Linked DNA regions of Arabidopsis thaliana. The protein of the gene in region 1 interacts with the protein of each later gene in a pairwise test. Each region holds a gene or a part of one and is shown on either strand. Other genes may lie near its edges.

Region 1 (6,927 bases):
TGTGCTCAGATCATGGAAGTAAGAATTGTAACCAGATCTTTTTGTTTCCCTATCATATAGGGTATGATTCAACTGTGGGATGTGGACTCTGGACTTTCCCAACTCGACAAATATTTCCATAGTAATGATAATCCTATCATTGCTGGAGCACTGCTGGGAGTTGGGATTGTAAATTGTGGCATTAAGAACGATTGTGATCCTGTGAGTTGCTGTCGTGTTTGATTTTGCTGGGACCATTTGTGCTAATATTTGCAGCCACTCTTCCATCTTACTCAGCCTTATTTCTCAGGCATTGGCACTTCTTGGAGACTATATAGACAAAGAGGATTCATCTGTCAGAATCGGTGCTATCATGGGTCTTGGAATTTCATACGCAGGTTCCCAAAATGACCAGGTACTTGTTATATTCTTTCCCATATTACTACTTGAATGTTTCGGGTGTTCACAAAACTTTAACACGTACACTGTTTCAACAGATTCGAAACAAATTGTCCCCGATACTGAATGATGCAAAAGCGCCTCTTGATGTGATTGCATTTGCTTCACTTTCTTTGGGAATGATATATGTTGGTTCCTGTAACGAAGAAGTAGCCCAGTCTATTATATTTGCTTTGATGGATCGAAGTGAGGCAGAACTGGGTGATGCCCTCACTCGTTTCTTGCCACTTGGTCTTGGACTTCTATACCTGGGCAAACAGGTTAGCAATGTGTTTTACATAATCTCGCTCTTTGTTCGTATATCATTATTTGCATTGCTTGACCAACATCAACTTGTTCCAATATCTACCAGGAAAGTGTAGAGGCTACAGCTGAAGTTTCGAAGACCTTCAATGAGAAGATTAGAAAGTATTGTGATATGACACTTCTTTCTTGTGCTTATGCTGGAACTGGAAATGTCCTAAAGGTATCTAATCAATTGTGCTGGTGGTTGAGTGACATAATTCATTACTTGTTTAGTTGTTGACTCCTACTTATATTTTCAGGTACAAGACCTTCTTGCTCAGTGTGGCGAGCATCTTGAGAAAGGTGACATCCACCAGGGTCCAGCTGTGCTTGGGTTAGCAATGGTTGCTATGTCTGAAGAACTGGGAGTTGATATGGAGATCCGTTCTCTGGAGCGGATGCTACAATACGGAGAACAAAACATTCGGCGTGCTGTGCCTTTGGCCCTTGGTCTCCTTTGTATATCCAATCCAAAGGTAAATACTTTTGTAAATGTAGTTTTACTGCACCTGCTTACAATTATTAGTGGGCGTCTAGAGTAATACTGGGTTTTTAATATTTTTCCCACAATTCCAGGTGACTGTAATGGACACCTTGAGCCGGCTTAGCCATGACACAGATTCGGAAGTTGCCATGGTTAGCAATCATTTCGCTTCATAGCCTGTCCCATATTATTTAGCTGAATAGTATTGAGAGAGGACTGATCTTTCTTTTGACTCGTACAGTCAGCAATTATATCATTGGGACTGATTGGCGCTGGAACTAATAACGCAAGGATAGCCGGGATGCTTCGGAACCTCTCCAGCTATTATTACAAAGACATGAGTCTTCTCTTCTGTGTAATGTGTTCCTCATTTTGGTTTCTGTACCCTGCGGTAAGCTGTTGTTCTTGTTGGAATTATTGTAACTAACTTGGTAAGTCATTATGCAGGTGCGTATTGCTCAAGGGCTTGTGCACATGGGAAAGGGTCTCTTGACACTCAGCCCCTTCCACTCTGAACGGTTCTTGCTATCGCCGTAAGTTCATTCTTTTTGTCACCAATAGAACCAAATCTTTTTTGATAGTTGGATGTTCAAAGGTTTCTCATGCGGACCTTATTTATGCAGAACCGCACTTGCTGGTATAGTGACACTTTTGCATGCATGCCTTGACATGAAACCAATCATACTCGGGAAGTACCATTATGTGCTGTACTTCCTCGTTTTGGCGATGCAAGTGAGTTCAACTTCTGTCCTGTGTTTCTCCCTCTTGTTAGTTAGGTCTGATGAACTTGCTATGATTTGATATTTAATCAAATTTTGTTAAAAAAATGTATAGCCAAGGATGATGTTGACAGTGGATGAAAACCTGAAGCCACTGTCAGTGCCAGTGCGGGTAGGACAAGCAGTTGATGTGGTTGGGCAAGCGGGTCGGCCCAAGACCATAACCGGTTTCCAGACACACTCCACACCTGTTCTCCTGGCTGCTGGAGAGAGAGCCGAACTAGCCACGGACAAGTATGTTATTCTTTTTCCTTTCTTCCTTGTACCCTTTATGTTGCCTACTTAGGTGTCTGATTATAAAACTCGGATTTGTAACTGGCAAACAGATACATTCCTCTGTCGCCAATACTAGAAGGATTCATCATCTTAAAGGAGAACCCAGACTACAGAGAGGAGTGAAGAGAGAGAGCTTCTGCTTCCAGCCAGTTGTCACTAGTTTTACTATTTCGTCTATTATCTCATGGTTTTTCTACTCTCCGTTTAAGCTTTGTTTCATTATCTTGGGATCTTTGTATGACCTGACGCTTTTAGTTATATAAACTTTAGTCTCTTTTTTTTTTTTTTTTTTTTAATCGCCACCAAGTCGACACATATTCTTGCCAAAACCAATATTGACTCAGTTTAAAAAATAACGATCCATAAAATTTTCCAATTACTTTGATCACATAAAAAAAGTGAAGAAATGTTAGCCACTTGCATAGTGCCGTTCAAAGACGCACAAATGAAATTGGGCTTTCCTTTGGCCCAAAAGTGTTGCGATCGCGTTTATAACAAAAGACTAAGGTTTCGTCCAAACTAAGATCGCGTTTATAGGGTTTATCATCATTTCCCGTAATCGTAATCGGAGTTCAGGCTTCAGCATTCTCTCTTCTTCTCTCTCGCAGCCGTAGTTTTTGATCTTCTCTTCAATTCTCTCTCCTGATGGCCACGTCCGCCGTCCTCTCCGGTGCCAGATCGATGCTTCGAGCTGCTTCCTCACGCAGCGCCGCTGCTTCTACTGGCCGCTTCGCCTCTCAAGCGAAATCCGCTCCACCATTGTTTAGAGCCACTGCCAGAAGAAGCCCACTGCTTTCTCCTCTCCGGTTAGTCTCTCTCATACCCATTTCCTTATTTGAGCTCATTTCACAGTTTTGTGCTACTTGAAGCTTGAAATGGGTTAAATTCGATCGAATTGTGAAAAAAAAGAAGGAACTTCTCTATGTAAAAATTACATTTTTGCGTTAATCATGTTTCCAGATCGATTATTCACAAGTAAAAAAGATGAAATTTTGCATTTTGATGTTGATTTTAAATGTGAAACTCTCTTATCACATTACTTAAAAGAATTTGCATTTTTGTTTGTTTTTGATGTGAATAGAAATCCTGTGGAACTGAGCTTCTGTGTGGAGTCATTGTTACCATATCACTCGGCTACAGCTTCAGCGCTAATGACTTCAAAGCTTTCTATCTCTGGCCAAACCTATGGCTGGCTCTCTGACGGTACTTTCTCACATCCTTCAATTTTGTAATGCTTGAATAATGGCTTAAATATGTACTAAATATTGAGTGGAGATATGCTTTGTTTGATTGATGAAATGTGTTTGAGAGCTGTTTCTGTATTGGCTTTCTAGATTGTTGTATTAGACATAGGTAGAGAACTAGTTTAGATTTTGCCATTTAAGAAGCTTTCTCGATCAGTGTAGATTCTTTTTGGTTGTTGCTATGGCGAAAAACTGGATCAGTTGTTGTTGTCTTTCTGCTTAACGTTGTAAAGAGATAGCGGCTCAATTGGTCTAGTTTTTCGATCTTGTAGGCTGACACAAGTGTAGATGGAGACAACGAAGCCAAGATCTGGGTTTTCATGCAAATAATATAAACGATTAGAACGGGTTTCAGGCAATAAGATAGGCTTTAGATACACATCAAGCAATGGTTGATGCTGCATTGTGTTTTAAAAGAACTGGTTCTTACATATCTTCTTAAAAAAAATACATGTACCCGGAAACGTGTCTTCTTTTCTTGTTGGTTATAGCATTTGAGTTATTACTGATTGGTCTTATACTCCCAGCTTGCAATGATGATGTGTGATGAGTTAGCCAGAGGAACAATGAAGCTACAGTTTATGTACAAAACCTCTACCTTTTAAAGCCTTCTTCTTTAGAAAAACTTAGGAACGAAAACCCTCTTAATTTTGTTTCTGAGTTTCTTGGAGAGCTTTTCTTTGTTTTCAGCCTATTAAGTAAGACATGTTGTATTGGTTGGACGAGTAACTGATGTTTGGTATAATTTATCAGCTTGCAAAGAGGACTTTTGATGATGTCTACGCGTACCCAATGCGAGATTGTTGATTGCGAGAGAAGGTTTAAGAGTATTTAGGCAAAGAATAATTGTTGTACTGTTCAAACACAAATCATCTCTTTGTCTTTAGTTTTCATATCAAAGACAAATGTCCAATATCTTTTGAATCAAATCTCTATGATTTCTATTACATCAACATACAAACTCAACAAAATTGCATCACTTCTACTAATTTAAAACTTGGAAACATCCATGAGTTTGAATACTATAAATTATAATCAAGATTCTACCAAATATATATATATATATATATATATATATATATATATATATATATATATATATATATATATATATATATATAATCAAGAATCTCATCAAAATAAGTAGGGAAAAAGTAGCAGATTTGGCAATCAAATTGGCACATTAACTTGTCGACCCTTAAACTTGAAAGAAGGTTTCAAGTTTCTTCTTCTTGTCCCTTGGATCTTATGAAACATTGTATTCTCTGCCAAAGATTCACGACTTGAATGGGCAGCTTTGTTAAAGGATCTCTTTGTCATTAATTTTTCATATTAAAAAAACAGATCCTTTCGAGATATAGAATTACATCTCTGTTGAATGTGGATTGATACAAAGTACAAACACTACAGTTTCTTTGATCCTTAAGTTTCTGCAACCACCACCACTAAAGCTCGCTCTTCTGATGGCTGTGTCTGTTCTTCTTCTTGTGGAACTGTTTCTTCTTCTTGTGGAACTGTTTCTTCTTCCTGCGGGAGTGTTTCTTCTTCTTGCTCATTCTCAACAGGCTCAACTTCCTCGGGAGTTAGCTGTAGATTTTGTCTCCTATACCGAAATATCACCAGGATGATAAAAACTGCAGAACATGAAAGACGTATACGTTATATTTTGATACAAGGCAAACCAAATACTCTGTCAACCATTGGTTAGGTAAATTACCTGCAAATATTCGGGTTCTTATGCTCGTCAAGTTCCAAAACGCTGTCACCGCAGAGCCAGCCAAGATCTTCTTGTGTGAGCAGACTCCCCATGCTTCACCTATTCTCGTTTTCACTCTTTCAACTGCACAAATGAAACTCAAACCAGTTCAAGAATTTAAACCATTGGACCAGTTAAAGACATCTACAAACACTTGACTATTGATTCTAACACAATTGACAATATGTGAATGGGTGCAATTCATTATTCTTCACCTTTTTGGCTAATCTGATGCGTGTAACATGAATACAGCTTTGGGATGGTGAAACTGAGGAAGAAACCTGTTTCAGTAACCATACACACATATCATCATCACAATTCCTATCATGCTTAACAATGTTTCAGCTTATGTTCCAAATGTTAATTACCAAATGCAGATAGCCTCCACAGTGTTATGAGATGACCATACTCAGCTCCAAGTAGCAGAAATGGTGTCACCTGTGACAAAAAGAAAATCAGCAGATGAAAGGGCAAGTAAACCACCAACACATAGCAATCACCAAAACTGATTTGATTTTGTTTACTTTGAGTGTCATTGATGGTTCTCCTGAAAAAAGCTCACTAGTCTTCGAGATAAAAAAGTTGGTTGCAGGAAGCACTCGTCTAGCTGAGCGCAAGACATCATCTTCACTCACATGGAACGCTCTCTTTGTGTCTTCATTTTTCCTAAAAGTAACAACACATTGAAGGATCACACTAACTATTAGCTTATGGAGAATGCCAAACAAAAGAGACCACAGAAGTAAATGTACCTTTGACAAAGAGTGTTTGACAAGAAGGACCCGCAAAGTAACACAAGTCCGAGATTGGAAACCGCCGAGAAAACGCTTCAAAACAAAGAAAAAGGTCATGACTTTCACAAATCTAATTGAGCCTACAAACACAAGCTAGATATTTGGTACCTAAAGTTGACTCCTTTGGCAAAGCAAGAAGATAGGAAAGACAAACATCCAAAACCAAACCAGAGAGTCGATTTCGCAACATCTCTCCACATTACCAAATCACTTATAATCTCTCCAATCAGATTCAAATCGCTCTGACATGTATCTTCACCAAACCCAACACACAAGCAAATCAGAATTAAGCAGAGAAACACATAAAGCAGATAATAAGAGAAAGAAGAGTACTTGGAAGATCTGAGGAAGAACAAAGAGGAGGAGCTGAACTTTGCTTATCCTTCTTAGGTCGACCATTAGTCTTCCGCTTTCTAGGAGGAAGCTTTACGATTTCTTCGATAACCAAATTAGCTTCTTTCTCTTCCACAGCTTCAGATCTTCGCCTCGATCTCCGGGGATTCCTCGGAGATGCTAAAAGACTCTTTTGCCCTCCTTTCCCTTTGCCCCGTTTCCGAACCACCGCCATAGCATCTTCAGAAGTCATTTCGAGTCGATCGGATAAACGGGTCCTCGATTTTCGAAGTGGAGAAGGAGGTAAGAGGAGGATATCGCGAAGAGGAACAGGTGATGATGGGTTTGGAGTATTGGGAGACGACAGAACCAAATCAAGAGAGAGATTTGGAGGATTCGAAGAATCTTGGAGACGCGAAGCTGATTTAGTGTTGGATCGGTGATAAGGAGGCGTAGACTCCATTATTATGAAAAGGGCAAAATCTCAGAGAATTGAATTTAAGAATCTCAGAGAATTGAATTGAGAATCTCAAACAAG
Region 2 (7,124 bases), on another chromosome or scaffold:
CAATTCTCAATCTATGGAATATATTATGTCTTCAAGAGCTATTATTCTAATGACGATCTATGCTAACAAATGGGATACTTGGAAACAGCATGAGCATCAGGATACTACGTGATGTCGCTAGCCACGAGGTTCTTACAATTTGATAATGGTCCCGATCAAAAGCTTAACAAAACATAAGTTAATTTCAGTTTATGTTACAAACGTAAACAACTTAAATAGATAAAAACAAACAATAACTAAAACCTAAAAATAGGAAGCATTTCCCACATTTAAGGCCTTAACCCAACAAAACTAGAAACAACACATGTTGAGGTATACATGGTTTTTGAACCCATCACAATTCTTATCCTTAATTTTTTCTACACAATTTTTTATTCGTGCATATCTTCATAATCCATAATATTCTAATTAACTAGATTATAACCCGCACATATGTGCGAGGTTTCAATTTTAAGAAATGTATTGAAATACATTTTTAGTGAAAGATATTATAGTTTGTAAATTATAATAAGCATAGAAAAGTATATAGTGTTATTTATGATAAAATAGATATTTTATTAATTTATATTATTTATATTTTATTTGTATTTTGCATAGTAAATAGGATTTTTGGATTTGTTTCGATTTGGCGGAATAATATAGAGATATTTGGAAAAATCTGTGTACTTTTGTTAGTTTGATGTATATATAAATTGATTGTTTTTGTTTAAAATTTGATCAATTAGATTATATAATGTAAAATTTACTCTGTGGTACACTGTTGGTCGATTTTTCTTGTAACTAAAAATTCAAATTTTAAGATATAGTTATTTTGTAAATATTGTTTATATTGTTTAATGTTTAAGATTGTATAATTATGTTATAATTATTAACTAAGATTTCACTCATAGATTATCGTCCCATATTAATATCAACCCAAACTCGTTCCACCATATAACTTCATTCCGTAAAATGAAAAATTATTTTGTTATTTTTAAATATTGTTATTGTAATATATAAAAAATCGAGAGATTGACATGTGGTACATCTTCGATTAATATATTTAAAAATAATTTGCGATTTATAAATTTATGATATTGTAGTATATAAAACCGATTTTTAGTGTATACCTTTCAATAAAATAGAGTTTTTATAATTAAAGTATAATAGTATTTGGTTTTTATATGGTTAGGTAATAGTATTTGGTTTATTATAAACTAATAAATTTGTTGATTTTAGTTAAAAATAAAAAATCAAATTAAGTAATATTTGTTTTGTTTATTTTTAAGATTGTATAACTATCATCTATTTTCTTGTAATCTAATGTTGATCCTGAAAGAAAAATCCATAAGAATACGCATAAATGGATAGTAATATTAGGAGATAAATATCATTAGAACATGAAGTAATTTACTTATGAATCTCTATCTATTGTTCGAAATAATCGATATTCTATATTGATTGTGAGGCAATGTGAATGTATGCATAACATTTATAATTATAAGAGATAGATTGTATGCAAAATTAGATTTTAATTTGGATTCAATCTTAGCTTTACTGAAAAAACTAAGATTATACACTTGTAGTTTGATTGTTAATTTAAGACTTTCACCTGTAGTATACCATCTTGTATTAATATCGATCTAAACCCGTCAATTTTACGATTTTCCAGCTTGTTAAAAATTGAATCACATCATACACATAAAAAATCTAATATCTTATTAATTATTGTAGTATATAAGATTATAATTTTTTAATATAATATGTATAAAATTGAATATAAATATTTCAAATTATGACCTGTTAACTCAGTAGAAAGTTTTCTTAAATCTATTTTCACCCGTTATAATATTTTTCATGTATTGAACAGTTTATATTCGTTTTTAAAAATTCAAATTATGGCATATGCGAAAAAACTCTAATTATTTTTTTATAATGATGATATTATTTTTTCGCAAAAATAGAATCATATAAAGATGAGAAGTGAACTATAATAATTAATAAAAAATTAATATGATAATTTAGATATCAAATCTAATTTGTTAATTTTAATTGTTTATTTTTTTGGAAATTAATAATGTATTTCGTTTTTCTAATTAAATTAAATTAATTAAAATTTAGATATCAAATCTTATATGTTGATTTTGATTGGTTATTGTTTTTGGAAATTAAAAATGTATTTCGTTTTTTAATTAAATTTAATTAATTAAATTAGTATTTGACTTTTTAATCCTTAAACAGATAAATTAATTTACTCTTTAAAATTTTATTTCTAATGGTATACCTATGTAATTATTTACAAAAAGTAAGGTTACATTTAAAATGTACTTCCCAAATAATATAGTAAGATTTCTAACGTAAATGAATTCAATTTTAGCAATTTCTTCAAAACGTTTTCTGAAAAAAAAAGCGAAGAATATCCAAAAGAAAGAAAGTAAACGAAGATGTCAAAACGAAAAAAATGCCACTACATGTGGCTATGTCCTATGTACATCATCAACTATATATAATTCAAATCTCATTTTCAATCTTTATTTTTGCCTATAGAAAACGTCCTTTTTCTGTACTGTTGTCTTGTTTGTTGCTTAGATCTGGATGGACCCATGGGCCTATAACGGGCCTATCAATTAAATACTCATCATCATCAAAATAAAACTTCGACACCGGAAGTCTTCACGGCGAGGCAAATCGGACAGACTCGCACTGCTCCGACGTCGCATCCATTACAAAGAATCAAATGTTGACACGGCAATGCCATCACCGTCGCAGATTTCCGCCGGCAAATCCTACAACTTGGTCCGATCAATTCGATCCGCTCCGGATCCACGTAAACCGATTCAGCGTCCTCTGCTTCTTCCGCGTCTCCGCCGTCTTCTCCGAACGTACTCTGTTTCGCCGCCGTATCTAGGCGGTTAGCTATGGCTTGTTGGAGATGAGCATGTAACGAGGACACCTCAGCTTCCCGCGTCGCCGCTCTTAACTGCCAGTTTCGCGCCTCTTCCACGATGTGAGCTACACGCGCTTCTAGCTCAGCGTGACGGCGCGTGGCTTTCTCCAACTCCGCTTCTTTTTTTCTCAATTTCCGTCCGACTATCTCCTCCGCAGCGCACAATAACTCTACGTAGCGTCTCTCTCTGTTATCCGCTAACGTACGCCGCAACTCTTCACCCTGCAAAATCAAATTATCAACACAAAGAAAAAACAAACCAAACCACATTTTAGGTCGAGTTTAATAAGACACCTGAGTCTGAATGAATCTGTCTAGTTCATCTCTTTGCCGTTTAATCTTTCCGGTAACATCTCCGGGAAGAGAAGAAAAAAACTGTTGTTGATTCTGTGACTGATCATGAAATAATCGAAGACCAGTGGAAACCACGTTAGGCGTTTTCTGCAACAACTCGGTTATATCAATAACTTGCGACGGTTTTGGAGGTGGAGGGTTCATCAGAGCCGATGAATAAACTTCTCTTGATCGTTTTCTTGAATCAACCCCTGTTTCAAAAACGGTGATGATTGAATGGAATTGAAGGAAAAAATTTGGAAACGATATGGGAATAATGAGAAGAGAGACCAGCTTTGGTGAAATTAGTGAAAGGAGTGTCTTGAGGCTGCAACGAACAATCACTAGCTTCTTGTCCGTTACTGTTCAATAAATTTTCATAAGAAATTGAAAACATCACATACATAATAAATACACAGGGCGTATACTATTACTATATGATTATATGAAGATTTTTACCTGTTGTTGAAGAAGAAACGTGAAGGATGCTGAGCTTGAATCGCCATTGAGCTATCAGAGAAGAGACCTATGCGTTCATTATCAGATAATAAGGGCATGCATGTGTGTTTGTGTATATGGGAAATGATGATGCTGATGATGATGAAAATGTATTGATTTTTTCAAGTATGAATTAAGAACTGAAAAAGAAAAGGAGAAAGAATGGGAGAAATAAATGGGGAAGATGAGGTTTTAGAGGGGAGGGGGACGAAAGGGTACAAAGACTTGTGGGTCTTTTTAAAGCTTTCAACATTATATGCATGATTCACACTAATGTTACCATTTTTTTTTTGCATCTACTTCTATTTTTTTCCTTAGTACTAGTACTCTTTCAATCATTCTTCAGTTGCAATATAGACTATATAGTATAATTTAGAGACTGAATCAAAATTAAAAGATGTGAACGATGTAACACTCTTCCCAAAGACCCTTCCAACCTAACTAAACCAAACCGTCTTTCAACCAAACTAATCCATTTTAGATCAGTCGATACATCACATATTTGCATGTTCCAGATGAATAATCTGTAGATGTATTCGTTAATCTTGTAGTACCTGAGGGTTTTAGCTACCTAACAATTTTCTTTTTCAATTTTTTTTTTTTGTTTTTTTTTTTCGTTTTAATTATAACTTAGATAGATCTTGGGCCAAAACCTAGATTATTATTACATGATGCATATAGTGAACCGAGTATTTCTTTTTTTTTTTCATTTAAGATGTTTACAATAACTAAATAAAAAGCTAACAATAGCGGTCCATAGTTTCATAGCAAAAAAAAAAAACAAAGAGAGAACAATAGCGGTCCATAGTTGGTTGGGATTCATATCTAGGTTTGATGTATAGGATAAATCCTTCACCACTCTTCCAATATAACCAATGTCCCAATTTTTGATATTATAAAAAGAAAACGGAGGAGTCGTCAATTATTGAAAGGTCTAGATCCATGTCGATGGCTAGATGCATATAAAGCATTAATGGATCGGACGTCATATATTCTTCAAATAAAAGGTATCAAATTAGATTATCCCTTGGTGCACTTCACGTTTCCTCATTGATATTATGCTTCACAGTTGCATATTATATATATGCTGGTGAGTCTTTTTCAAAACGATAAGCGACATACATATTCTAGCAAACAAACAATGTTCTACTTACCACATGATACATATAGGTACATAATGTTTCGTCATCAGTACACATTGCCATAGCGTATACATGAGATTACAAAAATTGAACTATATATAAAAAGAAAATCAAGCTTATCAAAATGTTTGGAGGAGTATGAAACATAATAATATATATAGGCATGATTTAATACTTTATAAACAGTAACACGTTAGCGAAAATTGATATCTAACAACAAATAATTTGGTTCTAGCATATGTTGGTCAGAAAGAATGGTAGGAATTTATATACTAATAAATGTCAACAAGATGACATAAAAATCTAGAAATGTGGTGGCAAGGTAAGCAACAAATTGATATAAGATGGATGGCATGTCCATTGTCAAGCAGTTGCATGATTTTAGTGGTCAGAACTCAGAAGTCAACATTTTTCTTAATTTTGTTTTTGTTTATATTTCAAATCAAGAGCAACATTAGATTAAGTAAAAGTTTGCTTGTATGTTTAGCCTATCAATTTAAATTTTCATATCTCTAACCATCAATAATGTTTTCTGTAGATGCTTTAGTTGATTAATCACCATTCCAAAATTCTTTCAAAAACAGGAGTAGTAATACAAAACAAATCAATTGAGTGATTAATCACCTTCACATTTCCCCAATTAGCATGCATTCCATGTTTGTGGTTTAATTAACCTAGAAGCCAATCGATTTTATAATGAATTAGTGTTAGAAAACGTTTCTAATGAAAAATGAAAGTAAAAACAAACTAAATATAGACCAATCACTGAAATAAAAAGAACATAACAAAAGCCAAACTCCAACCACACGTACATGCTTCTATATTTCACCGATAACAATTCAATAAAGAAGTCTACCTCATAGACATCTCTTTACATTTCAATTCCGTTTCCATATTTTACAAACAATATTTCTTTCACAAATCGATACGAGTCTCGTGAAATACACAATGTCTTCGGTTATAAATGTTCTCTTCGTCGTCCTAGTCTTTGTCCCGTCTATATACTCGGCACCACCACCAAATTTAACAAAAGATTATTACCAAAAAACATGTCCCGATTTCAATAAAATCGTACGTGAAACCGTTACACCAAAGCAAGGCCAGCAGCCAACGACAGCTGCTGGAACACTCCGTCTCTTTTTCCATGATTGTTTCATGGAAGGATGTGATGCTTCCGTCCTTATCGCTACAAATTCTTTCAACAAAGCCGAACGTGACGATGACCTCAACGAGTCGCTTCCGGGAGATGCATTCGACATTGTGACTCGCATCAAAACCGCTCTTGAATTGTCTTGTCCCGGGGTGGTGTCCTGCGCAGACATCCTGGCTCAGGCCACACGTGACCTTGTCACAATGGTTGGTGGGCCTTTCTATGAAGTCAAACTGGGCCGTAAAGATGGTTTTGAGTCAAAAGCCCATAAAGTCAAAGGAAATTTACCTTTAGCGAACCAATCCGTCCCCGACATGTTATCGATATTCAAGAAGAATGGTTTCACTCTAAAGGAGCTGGTTGCGTTAAGTGGCGGGCACACAATCGGATTCTCACACTGCAAAGAATTCAGCAACCGGATATTCCCGAAGGTTGATCCAGAACTCAACGCGAAATTCGCAGGAGTTCTTAAAGATCTATGCAAGAATTTCGAAACCAATAAGACGATGGCAGCATTTCTCGATCCGGTGACACCGGGAAAATTCGATAATATGTATTTCAAGAACTTGAAACGAGGTCTTGGACTGTTAGCTTCCGACCATATATTGTTTAAAGATCCTAGCACGAGACCGTTTGTAGAATTATATGCGAATAATCAGACGGCTTTCTTCGAGGATTTTGCACGTGCCATGGAGAAACTAGGCAGGGTTGGTGTTAAAGGCGAAAAAGATGGAGAAGTGAGACGTAGATGTGATCACTTCAACAAGCTTAACGTATAAGTAGCATAAACAGAAGAACATCATTGACTTCGATCGGTTTTCTTTGTATTTTTTTTTTAATAAATGTATTTATAAATAAGTAAGTTAATGTAACAATTTTGAGTGCCTAAAATTTACAAATAATCTTTGTTATATAGAGAGCATTAGATCTTACTTTATGGAGGAGAATACAAATTCAAGTTCTTGAGTTATTTCCCCATCATCTTCTTCTTTAAAACAAGTGTCTCCGTTTTAAGTGTTGTTGGCCAAACTTCGACGAATAAAGTCCAAATTGATTATTAAAACGGCTCAACTTG
Region 3 (6,822 bases), on another chromosome or scaffold:
TGAGCATCCTGATTAAGATTACGACTATGTAAACTACAATCAACACATTAAGTCAAAATATCTTAAACTTACAAATATTCTTTTGGTAATAGCAGAGGGTTAAACACACAAACGACTGTCAACAAAACCCAAGGAAAGCAATTCTAAAGACAAAATAGACATGCTCAGTGTAATTCATTTACCGAACCAGGAAAGAGAAAAGAGTTAGAAAAAAGTCAAACCATACCATTTCCTCATAAAGGTAGATCACTCTCTCATTGGCCAAATTCTGGATGCTAAGATCTTGTCTAATAGACCTTGTCCTATCGAAAATAAAATCATGAACCACTTCAAACGGGTGCTCCTTGGAGTCGAGCAAACTTAGAAGGTATCTCAGGGTTTCTTCTAAAACTGGGAGCGGTCTTACATCCGATGCCTGAACATCCGCCGCTGAAAGGGTTCTGCAAAACTAGCAAGAACACAGAAAGAGAGTATAAATGCCGTTGGTATTGGAAAAAAATGAACCTCATTGCATAGCAGCTGGTATCTCCCAATAAGTAGTACAAACTATTCATCTTGACCAATAAGTTATGGATTCTAATTTGCATAGATGAAGAATTTCAACATCAAATTTCTTTCAATAACAAGTTCTCTCGAAGAATAGATACGACATGTCAAATATAGAAAGCTGAAGGTGAAAGTTTCCCACATTAGCACCAGAGACATGAAAACTCAAAGCTGTACAATGTGAACCGCACCTTTTTGACAGCTATCTCTGTGGATGATTTTGAGGGGTTTCCATAAAGCCTCTCAAACACTGCAAGATCACGCAGGCGTTCTCTTGTGACTCTTTCCCTCTCTATTGATACCAAAAACAACATATTAGATGAAGCTGTACACACTCTTTTTGGTACTTCAAGTGTAATTTTTTACCTAAACCCCTAGCAAAAGATAATTCTTTGTTCTGAACTGCCGATGCACGGAAGGATCATGAATTGATGAAGGGAAAGTACCTAATTGACCTAAGAACTAGATCAAATCCAATTCAGGTGCAGGATAGGGTTGAATTTTAGCGGAATCTCAGGTCAATTGGTAATTTATCTGCAGCTAACGTAGTTCGATGATTACCTGGGCACATAGAAGAACAAGTTCCTACAATCAATGAAACGTCAGCAGGATCTTCGTCTTTATGTTTTGATTCGTCTTTTTCATTGTTTCGTTTGTGCGGTGCATCGGATCTTCTCTGAAAGGATTCATTAACTCCGCCGCCGGATCCAGTCCTCGGGTTATCAGAGAACTGGCGGTTCCCATAAGTATTCGAAACCCTAGAAGAAGAAGAAGAAGAGCCACGATTACGACGATTCATGGCTTAGAGGGAACGAGATCTTCTTCCCTCCCAAGTCCCAAACCAGACTCTGAAGAAACGAACCAATCAAAGCTGTTACCGAACTATTATTTGGAATAAACCGGAAGAGAACCAAATCCGGTACAGTACTCTCAGCGAATTAAATCTGGCGGCAACCGGGTCAATTTAATTTACACCGGTTCTGACTTGTACACAAATTTGCATTTCTACAAATGCAGCATTCAAAATTCAACTCAAGTAAGAATCTAGAACATTTCACATTTCCCTACACTTTGTAATTTACATATATAGTTTTGGAAAATTTGATTTTAAGTTTTGTTTTGTTTTTCTTTCCGGTTTTGCAGATTTTCTTTTTAAATCGATACCAAATCAAACCTTTCGTATACGGTTTGGTCTTTTTTTTTTGGGAAGAATATATGGTTTAGTCATTTGTGCAATTACGATTCGGTTCTGTTTTGTTTTTTTACAAACAATAGTCTAGTTAGATATATTTGAAGGAAATCAATTTTGATTTTGTCATTTGAGCATTTCATTTTTGGTGTTATTCTATTTTTTCCCACCCCTATACAGGCAAGCTTAGGCCGGTTGGTGGGTCTAGTAGTCACGGCCACTCTCTAGACAGCAGAGAACAATGTGTCCACCACTACAAATTTAGGTTTCTTTTCATCAACTATCCCTAACAAGAATCTAACTGCTAACATTCAAAACACATAGACTAGAACCACTAATCATACTATCATAGTGCAATTTCCCATCCAAAAAAAACTCCATATTAGAAATGCAAAGAGAAAAAGCTGGTTCATCTCCACTAATACTAGACAGTTGTCTCGCATTCTTTTGCTAAGACTTATTTTCTCTTTCACTACAATCTCTAACACGACCAAACTGATCGAACCGAACTATCTACCAAGCATTCTCTGTAAATCTCTACCTGAAGAGTTAAAACACTTAAACACACACAAATTTGAGACAGTATTAGCATCTCTTTGACTAAAGATTGATGATATTCATATGGCAAAAGCATACATTTGCTGGTAGAAATGTGGAAATCGCCATCTACCCCAGGAAACAATTATTGGTCTCTCTCTGAGAAATTTTGACAAAACAACACTTGGTATGTACACACAACATCTTGAGTCTCCAATATAAAAAGCAGAACTCAATTTCTTCCGATCCTTAATGAAGAATCAACACCTTTGTTCTGTCCAGAAGAAGCTGCAGCAGCAAAGATTCTAGCAATCTCTAGCTGAGTATTCGCCATTATCTCCGTCCGTTTCAAATCCAATTCTCCTCTCTTAGCTTCAGCTTCAGCTCTCATTCTCTCTATCTCTTTCATCGTCTCCATTCTTGCTCTCTCTGATCTCATCACCACCTCCGCTAACCACCGTATACTTCCGGCGATCTCTTCCTTCTCTTCTTTATATCTTCTCTTCACTTTCTTCCCTCTCACCTTCGTTTTAACCACAGGCGTACTACTGTCTGTATCCATCTCCGCATCTTTTTCCGGTTTGTTCTCCGGCTTGAATCCGTCTTCCTACACACAAAATAACTTCATTAGAAAATCTCCCAAATTTGGTTAGTTTAGGTGATCAGACCTTAGGAATCTTGCCGACGCCGTTGGATCCGTAAGAAATCTGCGGCGGATGAGCCACCGCAGGCAACGGCGGCTCAAGTAAGAGCAGAGGAACAGAGCAATTCAGAGGCAGAACAGCTTGAGGCTGAGGCTGAGGCTGAGTTCCACGTAGGAGATGATCAAGACGAGGATAAAGAGGCCAAGAGGAGCCATCAGCAGTAGCGGACTCAGAACGGTACCGTTTCTTCATGGACTCGATCTTGTTCTTGCACTGAGTCTGAGTCTTTGGTGACTTGGTGTGAGTGGCGCGTGAGGACACGTGTTTAGCCACGTCTTCCCAGTCTTGTCCCTTAAGCTTGGCTCTGTTTCTGAGAACCCATTTTGACTCATAAGCTTCGAGTAAAGTCGAAACAGCTCCTTCGCTCCATTCATCACGTTTTAACCTATCTACAACGACGGAGGAAGCAGATGGCTTCTTAAGCGATTCGTCGTGGTTGAGAGATTTGAGATTTTCTTGGTTAGATTCTCCGTTCTCCATATATTTTTTCTTCAGGTGACTAAAAACAGAGACAAGGACTCAAGAGTGTGATGAAAGGAGAAAGAAAGAGAAGATTTTAGCAAGTCTTTTGATAAAGATGGGAACCTTTTGAGAGAGTGAATGGAGTTAAACATATGAGAACTGTGTAAGAATACGCTGCTGCTCTCAAAACTAACCAATGAGTTTGGGTACACGCGTTTCTCGCATGTTCAATGGTCGTGCCTCGTGACTTAAAGCTAATGAAATTATGTTTTTCACTTATATTGTTACTGTCATTTTAGTCTTTGTTCCAATTTATGGTTTGTATAAAGATTACAAATACAAACAGAGAAACGCATAATTGCACCGGCTTTATACTTACCTTCACAAAAGTTAGTGGAGCAACCCGTCACACACACATACTATAGAGGAGAATAAAGAGAAAAATGTGAGAAAGTGGGTTACCATTGAAAAATAGGGTTTCTTTTCTTTTATTTGTCAACTTGAAAAAAGGTTTTACTTTTGATTTTATTTTTTCACAATAATGATTTCAAAAATCTTCTGATGCAAATGCTTTTATTCATTTAGCTATAAAAGCCTTTTTGTATGCTTTTTTTCTCTTTTTAGGTGTATGGTGGAGTGAGTCTGGCTGTTAGCGTTGATGTCAAGCCAAACCGCAAAATCCATTTGGCAAAGATGGGAATGAACCTAATGGAAGTGGGGTTTACACTTGTCACTCTCTCACCCATTCTATGTTCCACTCTTTTTCTTCTCTCATGTTTGCGCAAAGATACTAATTCGGGGTTGTTCCTTTTTCACTTATTGAAAGTGTATATCTTTCAAAACATTCAGAAATTTTGTGGGTTAGTGTTCACTAAAATCTTTGGTTAATTATCAAGTCATCCAAATATTACAAGTACCAAATATTAGGACAAGTCTTTAATTTTCACACCTTTTTTCTTACCTATATGAGAGAAGTTTTGTTGTAAGAGTGAATGTGTTTCCTCGTTAGTGGAGTATGATGAACTATGCAACTTCAAGGCAGCACATCGGACATTTTGGGGTCTACAAGATTATCATCGTAGATTTTTAACGCGCCATTTAGAACTTCTCAGTCTCATTTGGGTGATGAAAATGCCTTCCAAGGCATAATCATTTTTTGTTGACATTTTGGTACTTTCTCATGAAGTTGATGCATATGATTATACTTGGAAGTTGGAACATATATATATTTAAAATAATAAAGGTCCTCTGTTCCAGGCTTATTGCATCCGCAAATTCATGAGTACAATCCTTTTTGAACAGAGAACATCGAAAGAAAATCATACGAAAGATTTTACAATCGTTTGAGAATTAACAAAAATCATTAACTTATATAGTTTCCAAAATTCAAAAGTTCAAAACGCATTACGAAATCGACCGAAAACAAAAATACAAATCGATAAAACTTAGGTGCAAGTTTCACGGGAAATTCCGAGCCTGGAATTTGGAACGTCGATGAGAACTCGGTGGTTCTGTTGCTGCATACTAGCGATGACGTTAAGGACAGAGTTAACGTTGACCGGAGCTGCAGCCATGGCGAGGCAGCTGAGGTTACCTGCGGAGCTGTGGATGAGAAGGTTGTCTGGAGGCAGAGTCACGTTCATTCCGGCGAACATAAACGTCACCGACGGGAACACGACGGAGCCGGAGTAGCATGTGTCGAAACCTCCTAGTGAAGTTGCGTTTGCGTTCTTAACACGTCTCCTGAACTCGTTTCTCACCGCCACGTAAGCTGGTTCGACTAGCCTTGTGTAGACCGTCCCTGCGTACATTCAAAAGTGTTTTGTAATTAAAAATCAAATTTCTTTTCTAAAATATAATTTTTATATGAAAATTTGGATTGGCCATTTTTGTTTTGATTGTAAAATCATTTTTAGTCCAGAAATATCACGTGTTACGTGTGAGAGAGCAGAGCAATTAGGTTACTTCCATCGCACGACTTTTCAGTTCTCAAGCGAAAAATAAAAAATATTAAGGAGGGTTGAGAAGTCCATACCCGAGTCAAAGATGGTGCCGGCTCCGGTGGCCGGATCAAAGGCGAGTGCACTTGTAGGAATATCCACAATTTTGTTTCCGACACGAATCCCAACCAAGTTAACATAGTAAAGCGATGATCTTCTAGGGTTCTTTAACAATGGAGTGGTCTTGATCCGGATCGGTTGGTTCTTAGGTCCCAATCTTAGTGATCCGGAGAAATTGCTGGACTTACTATTAGGCAAGCAATACGAGAATGTAGACTGATAAAGATTTTGTGACTGTGAGATTAAAGACAATGGACCACGACCTAAGCCCATGAGTCCTTGCGCTGGCAACGATGTTCCACTAGCTTTGTTGATGCACCCAAAGGTGTAGTTTGGGATGACGTCACTGGCCAATGTTAGTGTGTCTTGTGTCAGATATGCTTCGATGGTTGAACCACCGTAGGTCATGTTGAAACCACATGATTTGCTTACTGTGCAACTTGGATTTGGAGCCTGCAATAAAAAAAACTCTTTATTGATTAATATTTAGAATTTTTTTTGTTCTTTGAGTTTAACAACGTATTTCCATAAAGAATTGTTTTATCCATCTTGGATCTGGTTATTAAATTGCGCTACTAACGATGTGTTACGTTATTTAATTGCAGTTGTAAGTGGCGTTTTTGTATTATAGGCAAAACCTAACTAGCATGACGACAAAGTATATATATAGATCAAAGTTCAAACAGTAAAATATGCTCTACTAGTTGGATTGTTTATAAATTTCTTGTATAAATAATAATATACCCGTGACTTAGACTCATGGTACCAAAAGGTCCAAAACCCGTGACTAGACTTCTCGATCATGGTGTAATAACACGCCAAAAACGAAGTTCACATTCACATCTTTTGTGTAGATGGATCCAAAAATTGACGTAGAGGCATTCACATTACGCCTGACATTCGGTTCGTATTTCGGTTTTGGTTTTAAATTTCTTGTTTTGTTAAAAATAATCAAGTCCAAATACTAACCATTTTTTTTCTTTCGATTTGAAACATTTATGTATGTTCTGATTAGATCTTGTTTTGAACAAAGTAAAAATGCGAATTATTTGTTAGTATAATTTAAATGTATTTTTTGTATATCGATTTTCCCGGTTTATTCAGTACAAAAGTATCGTTAAGTATGAATGTATGATATGATTCAAAAAAATTACGTTGAGTATAGTTTTCATTTTTCAAGTCCATCCAGAGAATGCATGCACATATCTAATTTATACGGAGGGTATAACTATAAAGCAATATTTAGTTACCTGTTTACACTGAGGAGCTTCGCATTGAAGAGTACGAGAGGAGCTTGACTTGGAAGGGTCAAAGAGAACAGAGG

Evidence for each region.
Region 2: the proteins of NFD6 (region 1) and AT4G17680 interact in a two-hybrid assay, tested with the Arabidopsis thaliana proteins (one large-scale study listed by BioGRID).
Region 3: the proteins of NFD6 (region 1) and AT3G54390 interact in a two-hybrid assay, tested with the Arabidopsis thaliana proteins (one large-scale study listed by BioGRID).

What each region holds. Positions count from the first base shown.
Region 1 is NC_003071.7:8,862,315-8,869,241, forward strand, and holds NFD6 (nuclear fusion defective 6), read left to right. Parts: upstream 1-2,783; 5' UTR 2,784-2,907; coding exon 2,908-3,068; intron 3,069-3,343; coding exon 3,344-3,494; 3' UTR 3,495-3,778; coding exon of another isoform or gene 3,779-3,783; 3' UTR 3,784-4,033; coding exon of another isoform or gene 4,034-4,053; 3' UTR 4,054-4,259; coding exon of another isoform or gene 4,260-4,279; 3' UTR 4,280-4,461; downstream 4,462-6,927. Other genes in the region: RPN1A (26S proteasome regulatory subunit S2 1A), read left to right, coding at 61-201, 290-394, 477-698, 791-904, 984-1,199, 1,300-1,359, 1,449-1,562, 1,655-1,740 and 3 more; AT2G20590 (Reticulon family protein), read right to left, coding at 4,929-5,140, 5,224-5,346, 5,478-5,543, 5,631-5,700, 5,787-5,928, 6,015-6,089, 6,165-6,309, 6,390-6,852.
Region 2 is NC_003075.7:9,840,280-9,847,403, forward strand, and holds AT4G17680 (SBP (S-ribonuclease binding protein) family protein), read right to left. Parts: upstream 4,056-7,124; 5' UTR 3,817-4,055; coding exon 3,719-3,816; intron 3,622-3,718; coding exon 3,551-3,621; exon of another isoform or gene 3,472-3,550; coding exon 3,221-3,471; exon of another isoform or gene 3,197-3,220; coding exon of another isoform or gene 3,149-3,196; coding exon 2,624-3,148; 3' UTR 2,331-2,623; downstream 1-2,330. Other genes in the region: AT4G17690 (Peroxidase superfamily protein), read left to right, coding at 5,848-6,828.
Region 3 is NC_003074.8:20,135,408-20,142,229, forward strand, and holds AT3G54390 (sequence-specific DNA binding transcription factor), read right to left. Parts: upstream 3,838-6,822; 5' UTR 3,591-3,837; coding exon 3,562-3,590; exon of another isoform or gene 3,476-3,561; coding exon 2,941-3,475; intron 2,880-2,940; coding exon 2,505-2,879; 3' UTR 2,331-2,504; downstream 1-2,330. Other genes in the region: SAC3C (SAC3/GANP/Nin1/mts3/eIF-3 p25 family), read right to left, coding at 227-448, 738-838, 1,108-1,345; AT3G54400 (Eukaryotic aspartyl protease family protein), read right to left, coding at 4,884-5,239, 5,474-5,951, 6,749-6,822.